Caenorhabditis elegans: one gene and its partner. The protein of the gene in region 2 interacts with the protein of the main gene of each other region in a pairwise test. Each region holds a gene or a part of one and is shown on either strand. Other genes may lie near its edges. The genes, in order: jac-1 and let-607.

Region 1 (7,630 bases), on a different chromosome or scaffold from region 2:
GATAGGTAGGCAAACAAAGGATTAGAGATTGGAAGACGCAGGTGGGTTGGGAAATTGAGATGTATGGTATGGGGTATAATGGTTCGGGGAATTGCTCATTAGAAAAAAAAAATCCAAATTTAAAAAAAGTCATATCATAAGTTATTAAATGTTGTCCTACAGATGAATGTTCACAAAATTCTAAGAAGTTTATCTTAACAATTTGAAATAGTGTTTTTTTTTATTTTCAAATTTTAAACTGTTTCAATACTTTGATAAGGAAATTCAAAAATTCTAACAATATTATATCGTTTTTTAATTTAATGAAACTATAAACTTTTTGGTTCAAATTAGATACATAACGTATCAGTTCAAATTTTGAAAAAAAAAATTTTTTTTCATCATAGCAATTCGTACTGATAAATATTATAAAGCGGGAAAATTTTGGGAAGCGACTTTTAGTTGGGAAAGCTTTAAAAGTATCACTGTTCAGGCAACTGTGCCTGCGTCGTACCTACCGAATGCCGATTGGGTTGCACTTTAGCTAGGACATTTTACATTAACAAAAACAATCGGCCACCAAATTTTATAAAAATTCAAACCATCGAACTTACACAATTTTGCTCACATTTCCCAGAAGAAATTATAAACTTCTAGAAACTGCATAAGTTTTTATCAAGTTTTATGTTTCTTATTCACATCAGCAAGGTACTATATTGACTAAAATTCAATGCTCACGTTTAGATACTTATTTGAAACTGCAATTTTTTTTTTCAAAAAAAAACTGTCAAATTTCATTGAAAACACCTTTCTGTAACAATCTGTAATTTTTTCAATTTAAGAAAAACAGCTATTAATAGTTTTCGAAAAAGTTCAAATAAATTGATAATTAATTATTTGAAAATTTCAGATTGAATGCAAATCTATTTGTCACAAGTTATCCAGTATATGAACATTAAATTTTTGAAAAAAAAAAACAAATTATATGTTTCGTTTGAAACAGTACTTGGCAGTTTTTTGTTATTTTTAAAATAAATCAGCAGTGAACTGAAATTTTAAAAAATTCACTGACAGCCTAAAACAGAGAAATAATTTCAGATTAACAGCTTATTTTGTCCGCTGGAATGATTTTTCCCACTAATATTTGAAACATTTTCGAAAATATATGATCTATTTGAAACAATGTTAAGAAGAAAAATTGTTATGTGAAATATCTAAAAATAGTATTTAGAGAAATTTTAGACAAAATAACAGTTAACTAAAAAACTTGAAGAAAATTCAACAACATCTTGAAACAGTTTTTTTTTCGAATATTCATAGTTAAAACTGAAAAAAACAGGATTTTACACAATTTTTTCTTTTTTTTTTAGAATTCATCTTTCTGTTGAATTTTAGCAAAAAAAACTGTATTTAAAATCAATTTTATGTAGAGAACGTCGTTTACAAAACTACATGCTCAAAGAAACATCTAAAGCAGTGGAAAAAAAGTGTCTCCCATTCTTCAGAAAATCTCTCCACAGTAAAAGAACAAAAAGTCATCGGAAATGAGAACGGCGAACGCAATTTATTCATTTGTTCGTCCCCTCTCTTCATCGAGGACATTCTCTCACTCACACCTTTTTAACCTTCTGTCTCACTCTCTATTTCTCCACTCTCTCTACACACTTTGGCAGAGTGCCAACGTGCGGGAAGAGAGTGTGAGACGCAGAGTGGAGAGAGGGAAATGACATATTGTTTTAGATGGTCTCTTGTTTGCCGTGGAGAAATGGACCGTTTGAGACAGGGAAGGGAAGGGTATTTTCGATTACTCACACCTTGCACATCCTTGCATTTCCAGTGACGTCATCGGGAACCAATTGTCAAGTTTTTAAAAATTGCTGTTTTACTGTTTCATTTTATCCTTATCAATTGTGCAATAAAATAACAGCTAATCAGAAACATTTTCTCAAAGTTTTGAAACAGTAATTTTAATTTAAAAATTGAAATTTCTTGAAGTTTTAAAAGCAAATTTATGAATTTTCACCGTTTAATTATTTTGAAATATTAAAAAATTTTCAGGCAAGGATTCCATGTATATTATGAAACTTATATGGGTCAAATTTATTTCAAAGGTTAAGTAACAATAATATGAGTTTAACTTGCAAGTCGTTAAAAAACATATTGAAATAGTTTTTTTTGCCAAAATAAAGTGGCCTCGATAAAACTTTCATTAAGCAAACATTTTTTTTGCAAATTTTGAAGAAAATTAACTTGGAATACACTTAAATAAAAACTGCTATTAAAACATTCAAATGTTCAATTTATTCTTATTTATGGTAGGCTGGTTACATTAAAAAATTTTTAACTTGGTTTTGCAGTTTCAGTTGCATATACATTGTCAAACAAAAATTAGATTTAACTATTTTTGGATCTGATAACCAAAAATGTTCGGAAAAAAGTATAAACCCTTGAAACCGAAACTATTTTTTTCAATTTCTAAAGTTTTGCCGCAACTCAAAAGTTGCAATAAATGACCACTAGCGTCGTCGTTCCAATCCAATGATATACCAATAAAACATAGCCGAAACGAATATTAATGACAATAATAAACATTTTGTAGACCTGGCTGAGAGATAGTGTGGGATTTGGAGAGACGGAAGACACAACACTAATCCGATGCAAAAACGGAAAAAATAGGACGGACTGTTTGTATTTGGCGGCGGTTAGGGTTTTGAAACGGCTTTTTTGGAGGGAATTAAAGAGAGGTGAGATGGGAATATCGGATGAATTAATGGCACTATCTTTAATCAATTTAAGTAGTTTTATCTAAACAATTTGAAACAGTAGAAATTTATTTTTCGCAGTCGAGAATTTTAGAATACCGACTTTATGCAGAATTAGGTTGCTTTTAGAGAAATTATCAACTTTCAAAATATATCTGGTTTCCGACTGCCTTTTTATTTTCGAGAACTAATATGTTAAGCAATAGAAACAGTCGGAAAAAAGTTTCCAAAATTTTTTCCTTGACAAACTCCGATTTTCTATTTTTTAACGAAATATTTTACTACTTTTCAGAAAGAAAATTTTGAAATAGGCAACTTTTAACCAGTAATTTGTTTTACAAAAAGTGGTGGAACAACGGTCAAAAAGTGGTTGATTTCTCTGCGTTTTGTTCAAGAGCGAGAATGTCACTCAATTCAGAGCAGTTTTATCTTAAGGTGTAAAAACAGTAGAAAAAAGTTGATACCAAATTGTAGAACAAAACACTTTCTGTATTATTGCTTTGAATATTTTGGATTTTCATAAATATTTTAAAGAGAAGATCGTAAGCTATGCAGTACTACTAGAAAGGACAGGCACTTAAATCAATATTTAATGGAAAATTAAAGGTTTTATTTGGGAAACTAGAAAAAGTAAAAATAAGTGTTAGATTTTTTAGCTAAAAGCCGAGATTTGCTGTTGTTATGCAGAATTAGTTCGTTTTTGAAAAAATACACTACTTTCGTTTCAGCTTGTCAACGAGACCCTATGAGACTGCCCTTCTATTTTGGAGCAGTTATATCTTAAGAACTAGAAACAGTTTTTTTTTTAATTTTTAAACTTAATTTCTAGTTTCGGAATTTTAACTATTTTTTTAATACGCAATCAGTTATTTCTTTTGTTTTTTTTTAATTTTAAGAGTATCAATTTGAATGTGTGAGATTATTCAGAGAAAAAAATCGAGATCATATATAATAAAAACTTATCTGTTTTTCTTTGATGTCAAAAAGAGCTTAGATATTTTCAGTGATATCTAAGGAACTTGAAACTTTAGAACATTTTGTTGGCTGAAAATTTAATTTTCTTCAAATAAATATGTTCTATGCCCAATTTTTAAGTTAGTTTTTGATCAATTTTTCATTTCTGGTTTTGAAGTTCGATTTCAAAAATAAGTGCTTTTCTATTTCCTTGTACTACTTCTCAAGAACCAGAAACTGCAAAACTTTTTTTTTCAATTTCAAAATTAATTCAAACTTTGAGATCTCTTTCAAACCCCTCCCAAAAATAAAAATTCCAAAAAAAAAAACTAACCTAACTAGCGTATTAATCTGTTCCGAAGTGTACACCTCCTTCTTTCGCATCGTCCTTTTAGCGGTATCCGACATAGCTCCCCACTCGGAGCCATCCGCCTCGGTTCCCTCCTCTGGTATGGGCTCCATTTCTTGCATCCACCCCGAGGAGATCATCTGTAAAATGTTGGGATTTTGAGGAGGAATTATTGATTATTTAAAAAGTGGACGGAGAGTTGAGAGAAAATGTTAACAATGAGACATCAGATATGGTTTTATAACAGTGCTTATGAGTACTATGTGAAAAAGTGAATTTTTTTCAAAATTTTTTTTTAAAACAAAATTTCACCTATTCACATTTTCGATTTATTTTGCAAAAATTTCACGAACAATTACGTGATCTAGTTCCGAATAGAAAAAATAACATTTTGATATGCATTCAGGAATAATTGTAAATTTTAGTATTCTATGGAGAATTCTGTTAAAACCTTGAATTAGCAGTTTTAATAGAAATCTCAAAATTAATTATGACAATTTTAATCAATTTTTGAGTGAAGTGAGAATTTTCATACGAAAAATATATATTTACTGCATCGTAGTACAATTAGTTTTATTATAAAATTAGCTTTTTTTGTGAACATTCTGAAACAGTACTTGTCAGTAGAGTAGAGAACAAAACAGACCGATTTTTGAATAATTCTTGAAACGGCCAGTTTTCTCAAAATCGAAGCGTTTTTCAATTGAAAACAAAACGATTTAAGACATTTCTGAAACGGTGAAATTTGTTTTTTCGAAAATGCAAAAAACTCCACAATTTTTTCCAGAAATCAACGCGTATTCCGGATTTCTAGCAACAAAAAACGTTATGCGACGAAGATAATACATTTTCCTCTTAAGAAATTAACTTTTCAGCAGTTGTAGAAATTTTTTTGAAAAATAATGTTTCAAGTTATCCATTTATTATCGTAAAATTTGCTTCTACATTGAGTACAGCTCACATTCAAAAATTGGTAATTCTTTAAAACTTTCATTGAGAAACTTTCTAACAATCAAAAATTCCTAAATTAATTGAAAAATTTTGAAAACGAATTTGACGATTTTCTGCACAATTTCGGAATTTTCGTAGAAAAATTTCAAAAAAAAGCTTTTTTTAAAAAATATCATTTTTTGAAAAAAAAACCGTAAATTATGAAGAACTGTTAGTAAACCGAGTAATATTACAAAAATGCAGATGAAATTTTGGGAAAAGTCAAACATTTTCATCCAAAAGTCATTTTTTTCAAATTTTTAATAATAATTTTAATTATTCTGTAAGAATTCAACGTAATATGCCACGTGGAAGAAAGTTTAGGATGGAAACAAATCTAATTACTCAAGTAAACACCATACTGCAAGTTAAAAAATTTATTTGTTTATATGTTACTTTTGAAACGGCAAATTTTTTTTCCAAAATTGTCTTTTTTTTAATAGCGAGATTCATGGAAAATATAAAAATGCTCCAAAACTTCTATTTTCGAAAAGAACAGTAAAACCAAAAAAAGCCAAACCAAAAATATCATAATTATTAATCAAAGCACCCGTCTCCCATCGGAGGTGGTAGACAATTGGTGGGTGCAAATAAATTTTTTTTGAGCAAGATTGATGAGCCGCGATTTGGAGGGAGCCGCTGAGGATCCCAGTGGGAAAAGTGTAAGAGAAGGCACTTTTTGGTGGGAAATTTGAAAAAAATTTAGGATTAAAATTGTTTCTGTTTCAAAATGTTTTCAAAGTTAAAGACAAAGTTAATGTGAAGTTTTATCTCAAAATGTTCATTTTAAGCGAGGTTTTGTTTTTAAAATGTTTGCTGTCGAAATGGCTATGCAAATTTTAAATCAAACTCATCAGCTCCTGCCGATTAGGTTTCTTTTCTTCGGTTGTTACATAACCCTACAGTAATCCCTAAAATATTGTAAATAGCGTTTTAGGACTTCTCCCAGCTAAGAGACGCAGACAACAACAGAACCTCGATCGATGTCGGCTGCGTTTTTTTTTCAGAAAAATTTCACTTTTTCATATTCATCATGTTTTCAAAACTTGTAATGATGAGAATTGTTGGCCTTCGAACGGAACAAGATATCGCAGCTGCGTCTCTCAATCACCAGTACTGATAGTATTACTGTAGGTAGTACTGTAGGGGTACGGCAAAACAGGTGTTAGAAGAAATTTCCTAAAGTCTCTTTAGCTGCAGTTAAAAACTAGCAGAAACTACTTAGAAACAGTTAAAACCATAAAATTTGACTTTTCTGGTTCAATCGGAATTAGTTAGAAAAAATTTGTAGCACTGTTTCATGTCATTTTCAAAGATTTACTACAGTTATTAAAAAAAAAGAAAACTAACGAGTTTCAACAATCGGAATCAGATATATAAGGCTTGTAGAGAAATTGAGAAATTGAGAAACAGTAGAGAAATTGAAACAATCTTTGAAAAAAAAAACAAATTTTGACTGTTTCAGTATGTTCATAAGTTGGTTAACACAAATGACAATGTAATCTGATGATTTTTCTATATTGAAACTGTTTAAAAACAAACAAATTTGACTATTTCAATATGCTCATAATTTCTAGAACAAATATTGTTAAACATTCGGAATGGGTTCAAGTCAGCAAAATTTTTTTGGAAACATCAGAGAGGATTCGTGGTGAGCCCTTGTATTTCTAAAAAAAACTGAATTTTTAGTAAAAATTGCGAAATAAGAATTTAGTTTGAACTGTTTCACAATGTCTTTAACTTCTGAAAATTTTTAAAAATAGTTCCGTCCATGTTTATCACAAATTCAAAGAGAATACTTAAAACATATTTTGAAGAGTATTTTTTTCTAAATAAAAGTATCAATTGAACCATTCCACTGTTTTTCACGATTTTCTCAAAAAAAAAGTCCACTGTTTCAATGTCTGCATAATGGCGGGAATACAACTTTTTAAATATTGAGTTTTAGATAAGTTTGCCACAAAACAAATCTGAAAATAGGCTTCAGTTGTAATATGTGGTTAGATTCTGTAAAAAACATAACAAATATCTGTTTTCACGCGCAACTATTTAGGCCAGCGCGTAGGCCGTTTGACAGGCACGCATGCCTGAAAGTGTGCCTGCTTACAGCAAAATATCATTCCAATAAAACTGCGTATAAAGTGTAAAAAAACGAAATTTTTAAAACTACAAAAAATTACTGTTTCAAAAAGTTAGTATAAAAATTTACGACAAGCGGAGTGATTTGTTTTGTCGCTTTAGGTTCAATTCGTCTATAAAACTTTTGAAAAATGCTGAGCAACTTTGTTTTGCTTTGGAAACAATTTTTCCACAAATTTTCATGAAAATCGTCCAAAAAAGCCAAAAAACTCCCCATTCCTACTTTGGAAATCTACTGACGCATGCACTAATCTGGGATTCACCTACCCTATAATTTCCGCCATTTCGATGGTAATCACTCATATTTTTTAAAATTTCGAATATAGATTCGGATGACAATTTCAATTGAAATCAAACATTTTCCCACATTACACAGAGAAATAGAGAGATAGACGAAAAAATGAGAGAAAAAATGTTCCGTTTTTTGTTGTTGTTCGAGGCGTGCACCTGCGGTGCA
Region 2 (7,630 bases):
AGAGAGGGAAAATGTTACTGATAAGAGCAATAGAGTGTTAGATTCAAATACGGCTAGTCATAGTTTTAAATTGCACTAATTATGATTTTAAAACTATGTGGTTTCTAAAAATGGTGTGTGTTGTTTTAGAAAAGAAGCTTTTATAATAAAAAAAAGAATACCTTAATATGAAATTGCCGATTTGACAAAACATATATCTATATCCTACAGATATCTAGACAATATTAGTTCTTGGATTTATCTCAATAACTAAATTAGTTTAACATGTAAAGCAAGCGGAGTTGCTCTTTGCCAAATAAATGTCTATCAATTGTCAATTACGTACTCTTTCTCGCCAAAACTCGGATTGTTTCTATTTCGATAAGAGAACAGCAAGCCCTGAAACTCTCATTTGATAGTACAAACAGACTGTGTGGTGGGAGTATTTGGTGAGGAGAAGAGCATTATCAATTAGAAGACAAGAGCCACTTTTTATCATGATTTTGTTTCAATGCCAAGTGTCGTCAACAACGTGTGTAAGGCCTGCGGGTGACTATAGAGGGCAGAAGCTTTAGCTTCTTCGTGGTTTTTTTTTAATTGCAAAAAAGTCTGGGAGGAAGTATAATGAATTTATAGACGAAGGAGAAGAACGAAGAACCGGATAGAGATTTCGATGAAATTGCCAAAAAAAATTGGAGGCGGAAGCTTCTAGATAAATTTCATGGCTTGCTAAAAATGACAAGGAAGTTTGAAGTGGATAAACATATTGGTCAGAATATCCAGAGTTGAACACGCATATAGTTAGAAAGAGAACAAGAAACAACAATGAACTGGAGTTTAAAATAAGGAAATTTCAGAATACTCTTATGGAAATAGTCAACGAGCTTCATATAATTCAATAAATCAAACGACATTAACTGTTCAAGAAACGAGGTGCGATTTTGTGAATAGCCCCGGGTGGTCAGGTCGTCGCCGGAGAGACAAATTCCGAGAGGGACAAACATAGAGAGAAGAGAGAAAGCGAGTCAACCTTCCTTTAACTAAAGGAAGTCTCGGGGGCCGCCCATTCGGTCAGCGCAAGAGGTCTTTCCCTTCGGGATCATCTCACACACTAGGTCAACCATACAGACAGTGCCTAGAGTGCAAGAGAATGTTAGAGGCGTAGAGACATTTGAGGGATGGTATTTACAATAGTAAGGGACCAGCAAGTGTTGTATGGAGAATGATGCACGTAACATTCGGTAGTAAAGTACCAGAAAGACCTTGAGCAGTCAGATAGGGATGGACCAATAAGAAAAACAAGTGGTTTTCTTCAGACTTCCAAGGACTTGTCTAAGGTTCCATGTTCCAAGGACATAATGTCTTGACTTTTGAGAAGGTGGGTGTGAATTAGGAACACTGCTGTCGTTTAGGTGACATCTAGGAAATCAAAGTTCCAATTCGAATCGGCTTTTCGTGAGATATTCTATCAACTAATCTAACGTGGGCCGCAAAGAGAACGCTAAAAAATAAGAATGGTAATAAAGTGGTTCTCATATCTGTTTGATTACTCTAGAATTTCATTTTGATCCCCTCTAGATCAATTGAGATTTCAAGAACACTTGCCGCCTCCAATTACCCAGCAGGTTACCCGGAGACATGACGTCCGCAATGCGATAAACTGTATTCGTTTTTCTCCAATCAAATCTCGGAAAGGTTATTGCGCCATCTCTTTTGCTTCTTTTGATTGAGACGGATGACATGCCGACATTACCTTTGGGTTATCCGTTTAGGTGCGCTAATCCCACAAACAGATCGCGCAAATAATATAAACTGCCATGAGAACCAGTGAAAGATGAGCCGAAATTATCGAAGGCCACGTACAAAATAGTTTTAAAAATATATATAGCAGCATGAAAACTAGATTATAGCCTTGACGCTAAAAAACGGTACTCCAGGCAAAAATATTAAAAGAAAAAACCGATTGAAGTAATGACAATTCAATGCGAATTTGGATGTATTGAAAGTTTTCGTCCAACACTATTTCCCAAAAACCTCTACAAAACCAGAATATGACGGTATTCGTTCGTCGATCACACTTTTCACTGTTGGTCAAGTACTACTATTACTACTTCAGCTAGCCGGACAAGAGAACACAGAAAAAAGAGGAATAGTGCGTAATTCATACATATACCATACATTCATAACAGAGACGCAAATGACTCATGGATACTGTCGGGTTTTGTGAAAGAGAGCAATGATATTTATACAGGTACGTACATCCTACTTATTATATGCAAATAGAGTATTTTGGTGGATCTAGAATATTGAAATTTAGCTAACAAAACCGTCCAATTTCATCGCAGAACTTTCTATGAAAAAAGTGAAAAGAACCACAGGAATAACTATATTGCAAAGAAAGATGGAGAGGAAAGTGAAAAATAAATATTTTATTGTTGGCCATGAAAAAAATCAGAACAGAACGCAGGCCATTGACGGGAATATTGGAAAACGGAGAATCAGCCGGAAATATTATTATTTTTTCATATTTTGACGCACATATATTTTGTGTAAGTTAAAGATCCCAAGTGTTTTATGGACATCATCTAAATAGATTGTGAGTCTATCCACGCTCTAGTTCCAGTTATGTTCAGAAAAGAAATGCCAACACGAAGAACGGGATAAATAACAATTGAAAAAAGAATTCATACTTCAAACTGAGACATGTCAAAAAACGAATGGAAACTTGAAGCAGAAGAAGCCAAAGGAGTGGATGTAATTATGTAAACGAGTGACAAGAAAAAAAACTATACGGAATCTGGGAAACAGCAAATTTTTTTCGAAAAACAACAATACTAACTGGCTTCATATACTTTCAAAGAGGTAATCGTGGAAATTACTCATAGATACCGTACCCTAGTTGTCATTACAATTTTTTTGATTTTCCGGTTGTGAGCACACTTCAAAAACATAAAATTTTCTCCTATTTTCAAATCATATTTATAAATAAGAATTAATCTTCAAACCAAACAAATACAATGTTTTGATTATCTATGGAGATGGAAAATGAGATGAGCCATTTCGGTCTAATGAGCACGTGCTTTATTCAACTGATATTTTATTTACTGACATTCCTATCGGATTTCAATGAAAATAGAGGATAGTTTTTAAAATTGAAGATATATGTATGTTTCATAATTGAGCTATTGAAAGGCTAAATTAATTTTTCAACAAAGAACGCACAATATTTCATAATTTTTCGAGTTATGGCCCCGGAACGAGAAAATCTGAATTTCCAAAATCTTTCAACATTTTTAAGTGATATTCTCAAATAAAAGTTCCTAAATCTTCAAAATCCGTTCACTTTTTCCTCATCATTATCGCACCGAAACCGGGCTTCATCCTCTTTTCGCTGTCACTTCATCTTCGAAAACCGTATCAATTATAATCTCGTCGCGTCCGCTTGTCCACACACTTCTGGCTTCTTCTCTACTGCTTTCTGGTCATTATATTCATTCTCTTATTAGGAAGTGAAAAGAGAGAAATAATGTTTCTCTTCCATTCCAAGTTCCTCTCTCTCTCTCGGTACAAACTTCCTTGTTCGTGTAAATCGTTTGTATTTCTACACAAAAAGGGAATCACTAACGGTATGTAGATCTTGTTATTCAATGCGGGAAAGATGACGGAAAGGAAAATGAGAAGAAGAAGAAGAAAGGAGAAGGTTCGAGAATAAGTTAAGAAAACTTGTAGAATAACAAGTCGTTCACCACAGGAAACCGGTTTTACAAAATCGGAAAGGATTACATTTATGTACAGATATTCGAAAGTTTAGGGGATTTATAAAATTTATGATCGATACGAAATAGTTCTAGAATTCACGAATCCCTTTTAAGACAGAAATTCCATAATTTTTTTTGAATTTTTGCTATCGAGTATTTAGTGTAAATTATCCATTTTCAGCCCAAAACTGGCTGCTATCCGTTGACTAAAATAAATGTCAAGAGCTTTCTTTCACTGAATGTGGGCGGAAATGAATGCAGAAGCGAGCAGCAAAGAAACAGTGAAAAAGAAGCTGAAAAGGGAAGTGAAAATATAATTTGGATTGAGGAAACGAAAAGATGGAAAGAAAGCGAAACGGGGAGAGCAGCTAAAAACGGCTATTCCATAAACAGAGCTAGAATTGAAGAAGAAGAGGAAAAAAGAGAGAAAGTCCTGAATACTGGACTCTTTAGTGGAGGAATGACGCGAGCATTTGAATTAACAACGTCACTTCGTTTGTTTTTTTTTTGTTGGAAATTTAAATAATTTTAAAAGATAAACATTAACTGAAAACCCACCTTCTTCAGATTTATGGAGAAGAGAGCGTGGCCACGTGGCAAATTTTGAGATGAGAAGACCGCTTGGGGAAGTTTCTGAAAGATTTGAATGGATTAATATTATATTAATCTGAAAATAACGAAGAAAACACAAATTCAACGTAAATATTTGAAAAAGAAGCCTCGACAAGTACCGTAATGCGTTTCTAAAGGCGCACGGATTTTTTCGGATGGGTCTCGCCACGAGAAAAACAATTTGCGGAAACTTTTGCGGAATTTTTTTCAAAGTGGACACTGAAAACACCAACAAAAAATCATTTGAATAAATCTCTGAGTTTCAGAAAATTGTGAAGGATATAAAAATTATTATGTCCAATTGCCTTTTTTCCTTTTCCATATAGTTTTCTGAATTTTTGGAGACCCGAAGAACTCGGGGGATGTCCTATTGGGGGATTACCAACTCGGGGGATTGGCCCCGCCCACAGAACCGTGGCTTGCAATACGCCCATTTTTGCAACTGCCGCACGGTTTTAAAATTATTTTTTCTTGTTAATTCTCGCTCTATTGAGAAAAATACAGTTTTAAAACCGTGCGGCAGTTGCAGAAATGGGCGTATTGCAAGCCACGGTTCTGTGGGCGGGGCCAATCCCCCGAGTTGGTAATCCCCCCAATAGGACATCCCCCGAGTTCTTCGGGTCTCAATTTTTGTATGCTCGATTTTTTTCTCAACAAAATAATTTTTCTTATTTACACTTTGTAAAGTTTATAAAATGTACATTTACTTAAAAACCAGAAAAATATTCTGAAGATTTAAAAAACGATGTAATTCTTTAAAATCTATGATCTGCTGATTAAATCCTAAAAAAATCCTAAAATTTTCTGTTAATTAAAAGGTCAGGCCATGTAGCCACGTATCTAGGGCAAGGTCATGTAATTTTCATGTTTTTTGCTTCATCAAAATTCGATCAAACACGTATTCAAAGTCAACGAAAAATAGAATTTCACCTAGTAATTTCGATTTTTCTCAATAAAACTGGGTTCGTGGCACAAATAGGTCATTTTAACTGAGTGATGCTAAAAAACGATAAGGAAAAGGCGAGGTTTCTGGAGTTTTCAAACGAAAGTGACATCAAAATGCTAGCAACATTTTCTCCAAAGAATTTTCGAGAAACTATAATGAAAAATGTCACACAGAGAGAGCATTAGAAGAAACGATAAGATACTAAATCAAGAGAGTTTGAGAAATTAAGAGACGCAGAGAAAACCAATGGTTTTTCTCAGTTCGTCCCAGTAAAAGTCCGATCAAATCAATCTTTTGCGAGCCGTCAGAGTGCTCCGCAGATGTGCTCAGTGTGTCTATTGGCCAAATGTCACCATCAATTGACCCTTCAAAAATGTTGAGCAACTGACTACAGAGCTCATTCCGGAGCAAGAAAAAAAACATAAATAGCAAATAGAATATGAGTCATCCGACAGGTCATAGTAATGAATGAAATATTTTCTCAGTGCAATATAATTTTATTCATACTAATTTAAGGATCTAAATACATAAAAATTTTCAGACTATAAACAGAATTGAATAGTAGGTAATTGGGAAGAAATTGGACAAAAGAATACTGTAGAAAATATAGTTCATAGAACTTGAATATTGAAATCATTGTACTTGAATCTAGATCTTCTGAACAATCGAGACCCCAGTCATTTCAGCTGGTTGAGGGAGTCCCATAATAGCGAGAACTGTTGGAGCAACATCACAAAGGGCCGGATGACGGTCGGCTGGCTGTAAACGTGTGAAGTGAATAGCTATTTACACCCGTTTGTAAATTAATATTTTCATTTAACATATGGGTTTCTGTTTTTTTTTAAATAAAAATTTCAAACGTTTGACAAAAACTCACATCGACAAATTTGAATCCTGGATGGCTCAAAGTGAGTGGAACACGGTAACATGTGTGAGCAGTGTGTTTTCCACCATCTGGAGCCTTCATCTTTTCAGCATTTCCGTGATCAGCAGTAACCATAAGTGAGTATCCGTGCTTTTGAGTTGCTTCATAGATTCTTCCGATTGCGATATCAGTAGCTTCACAGGCCTTGACAGCAGCTTCATAGACTCCCGTATGCCCGACCATATCTGGTGGAGCAAAGTTGCACATAATGAATGGATGAGTTCCAGCCTCGAGTTGTTCAATCATTTTGTCAGCAACGCCGGCCGCAGACATTTCTGGTTGAAGATCGTAAGTTGCGACCTGGAAATATTCAATTTTCGAAGTTATATCATCAAAGTATTACCTTTGGACTGGGCACTAAACACCTTTCTTCTCCCTCAAATTGTTTTTCAAGTCCTCCATTGAAGAAAAATGTAACGTGAGCGTATTTTTCGGTTTCCGCACAATGAAATTGCGAAACTTTTTGCTCGGCGAGCCACTCAGCCAATACATTTTTGTTCGATGCTGGCGGGAACAGCGATTTGAATGGGAACTCGGCTTTGTATTGAGTCATTCCATATACTTGAAGATTTGATGGATGAGCTAACTTCGAATTGCAATCCTTGTAACGATCCATTCCCATTGCTGCAGAAATCTCACGCATACGATCAGCACGGTAGTCGAAGAAGATGATTGTATCGTCATTTTGAACACGTCCTTTCTCTCCTTGAAGAATGATTGGCTTCAAGAATTCGTCTGTTTCATCAGCAGCGTAACGCTTGCGAACAACTTCAACAACCTGGAAAATGATAATTTTAGATATTATTTAAACTTGCTGAAATTAGAATTCGAATTTCTCTCGGAAACATTTTTAATTGAAATGAATTTGAATTTTTGTTGATTTAAAGTGAAAAGTTTGCATCTTGGTATATCATACATTGTACGGAAGAAAACTACTTTATATTTAGTAAATGATTTTTGATACCTAGAAAATTATAATTAAACGAAATCCAAAACTGTTCATTCTTCGTCTTTTGAATTGTTAATCAGTTTATACGCTAAAATCATACCCCAGCCTCATCGGAAGTCTCTCCAACACCTCCAATCATTGCCTCGTATGCAACATTGATACGCTCCCATCTGTTATCGCGATCCATAGCATAGTAGCGGCCAACTACAGTAGCTAGTTTTCCATATCTGAAAATATTTTTAAACATGTTTCCTAATGGGGTTATTCAAGTAATGTAGCGAAATGTATTTAAATATATTTGTGACGTCACAAATGTATTTAAATACATGTTTTTATATACTTGAATACAGTTGTGGCGTAATTTTTCTACACTTTTTAATTTTCCGACACTACTTGAATAACCCCATAAATTATCACATTATTCTAACCCAGTAGTTTTCTCCAAGAACTCGAGGGTTTGT

The links.
Region 1: the proteins of let-607 (region 2) and jac-1 interact in a two-hybrid assay, tested with the Caenorhabditis elegans proteins (one study listed by BioGRID).

What each region holds. Positions count from the first base shown.
Region 1 is NC_003282.8:16,022,664-16,030,293, forward strand, and holds the start of jac-1 (Fibronectin type-III domain-containing protein), read right to left. Parts: upstream 4,185-7,630; coding exon 4,030-4,184; intron 3,891-4,029; exon of another isoform or gene 3,866-3,890; intron 3,770-3,865; exon of another isoform or gene 3,749-3,769; intron 3,726-3,748; exon of another isoform or gene 3,705-3,725; intron 3,493-3,704; exon of another isoform or gene 3,472-3,492; intron 3,327-3,471; exon of another isoform or gene 3,306-3,326; intron 3,144-3,305; exon of another isoform or gene 3,117-3,143; intron 2,966-3,116; exon of another isoform or gene 2,945-2,965; intron 2,908-2,944; exon of another isoform or gene 2,887-2,907; intron 2,759-2,886; exon of another isoform or gene 2,735-2,758; intron 2,389-2,734; exon of another isoform or gene 2,368-2,388; intron 2,105-2,367; exon of another isoform or gene 2,081-2,104; intron 1,932-2,080; exon of another isoform or gene 1,911-1,931; intron 1,900-1,910; exon of another isoform or gene 1,874-1,899; intron 1,233-1,873; exon of another isoform or gene 1,209-1,232; intron 1,117-1,208; exon of another isoform or gene 1,096-1,116; intron 935-1,095; exon of another isoform or gene 914-934; intron 696-913; exon of another isoform or gene 675-695; intron 598-674; exon of another isoform or gene 573-597; intron 167-572; exon of another isoform or gene 146-166; and 1 more. UniProt on the Caenorhabditis elegans protein: May act as a positive modulator of hmr-1 function during epidermal morphogenesis. Required for proper localization of other junctional components, such as pac-1.
Region 2 is NC_003279.8:6,570,744-6,578,373, reverse strand, and holds the start of let-607 (CREB-H transcription factor homolog let-607), read right to left. Parts: upstream 4,371-7,630; 5' UTR 4,296-4,370; intron 1,100-4,295; exon of another isoform or gene 898-1,099; intron 1-897. Other genes in the region: ipgm-1 (2,3-bisphosphoglycerate-independent phosphoglycerate mutase), read right to left, coding at 5,944-6,054, 6,173-6,520, 6,564-6,998, 7,270-7,396, 7,598-7,630. UniProt on the Caenorhabditis elegans protein: Probable transcription factor, required during migration of the gonadal distal tip cells (DTC). Probably regulates cell adhesion of DTCs via modulation of expression of genes involved in integrin-mediated adhesion, including tln-1, src-1, and integrin pat-2.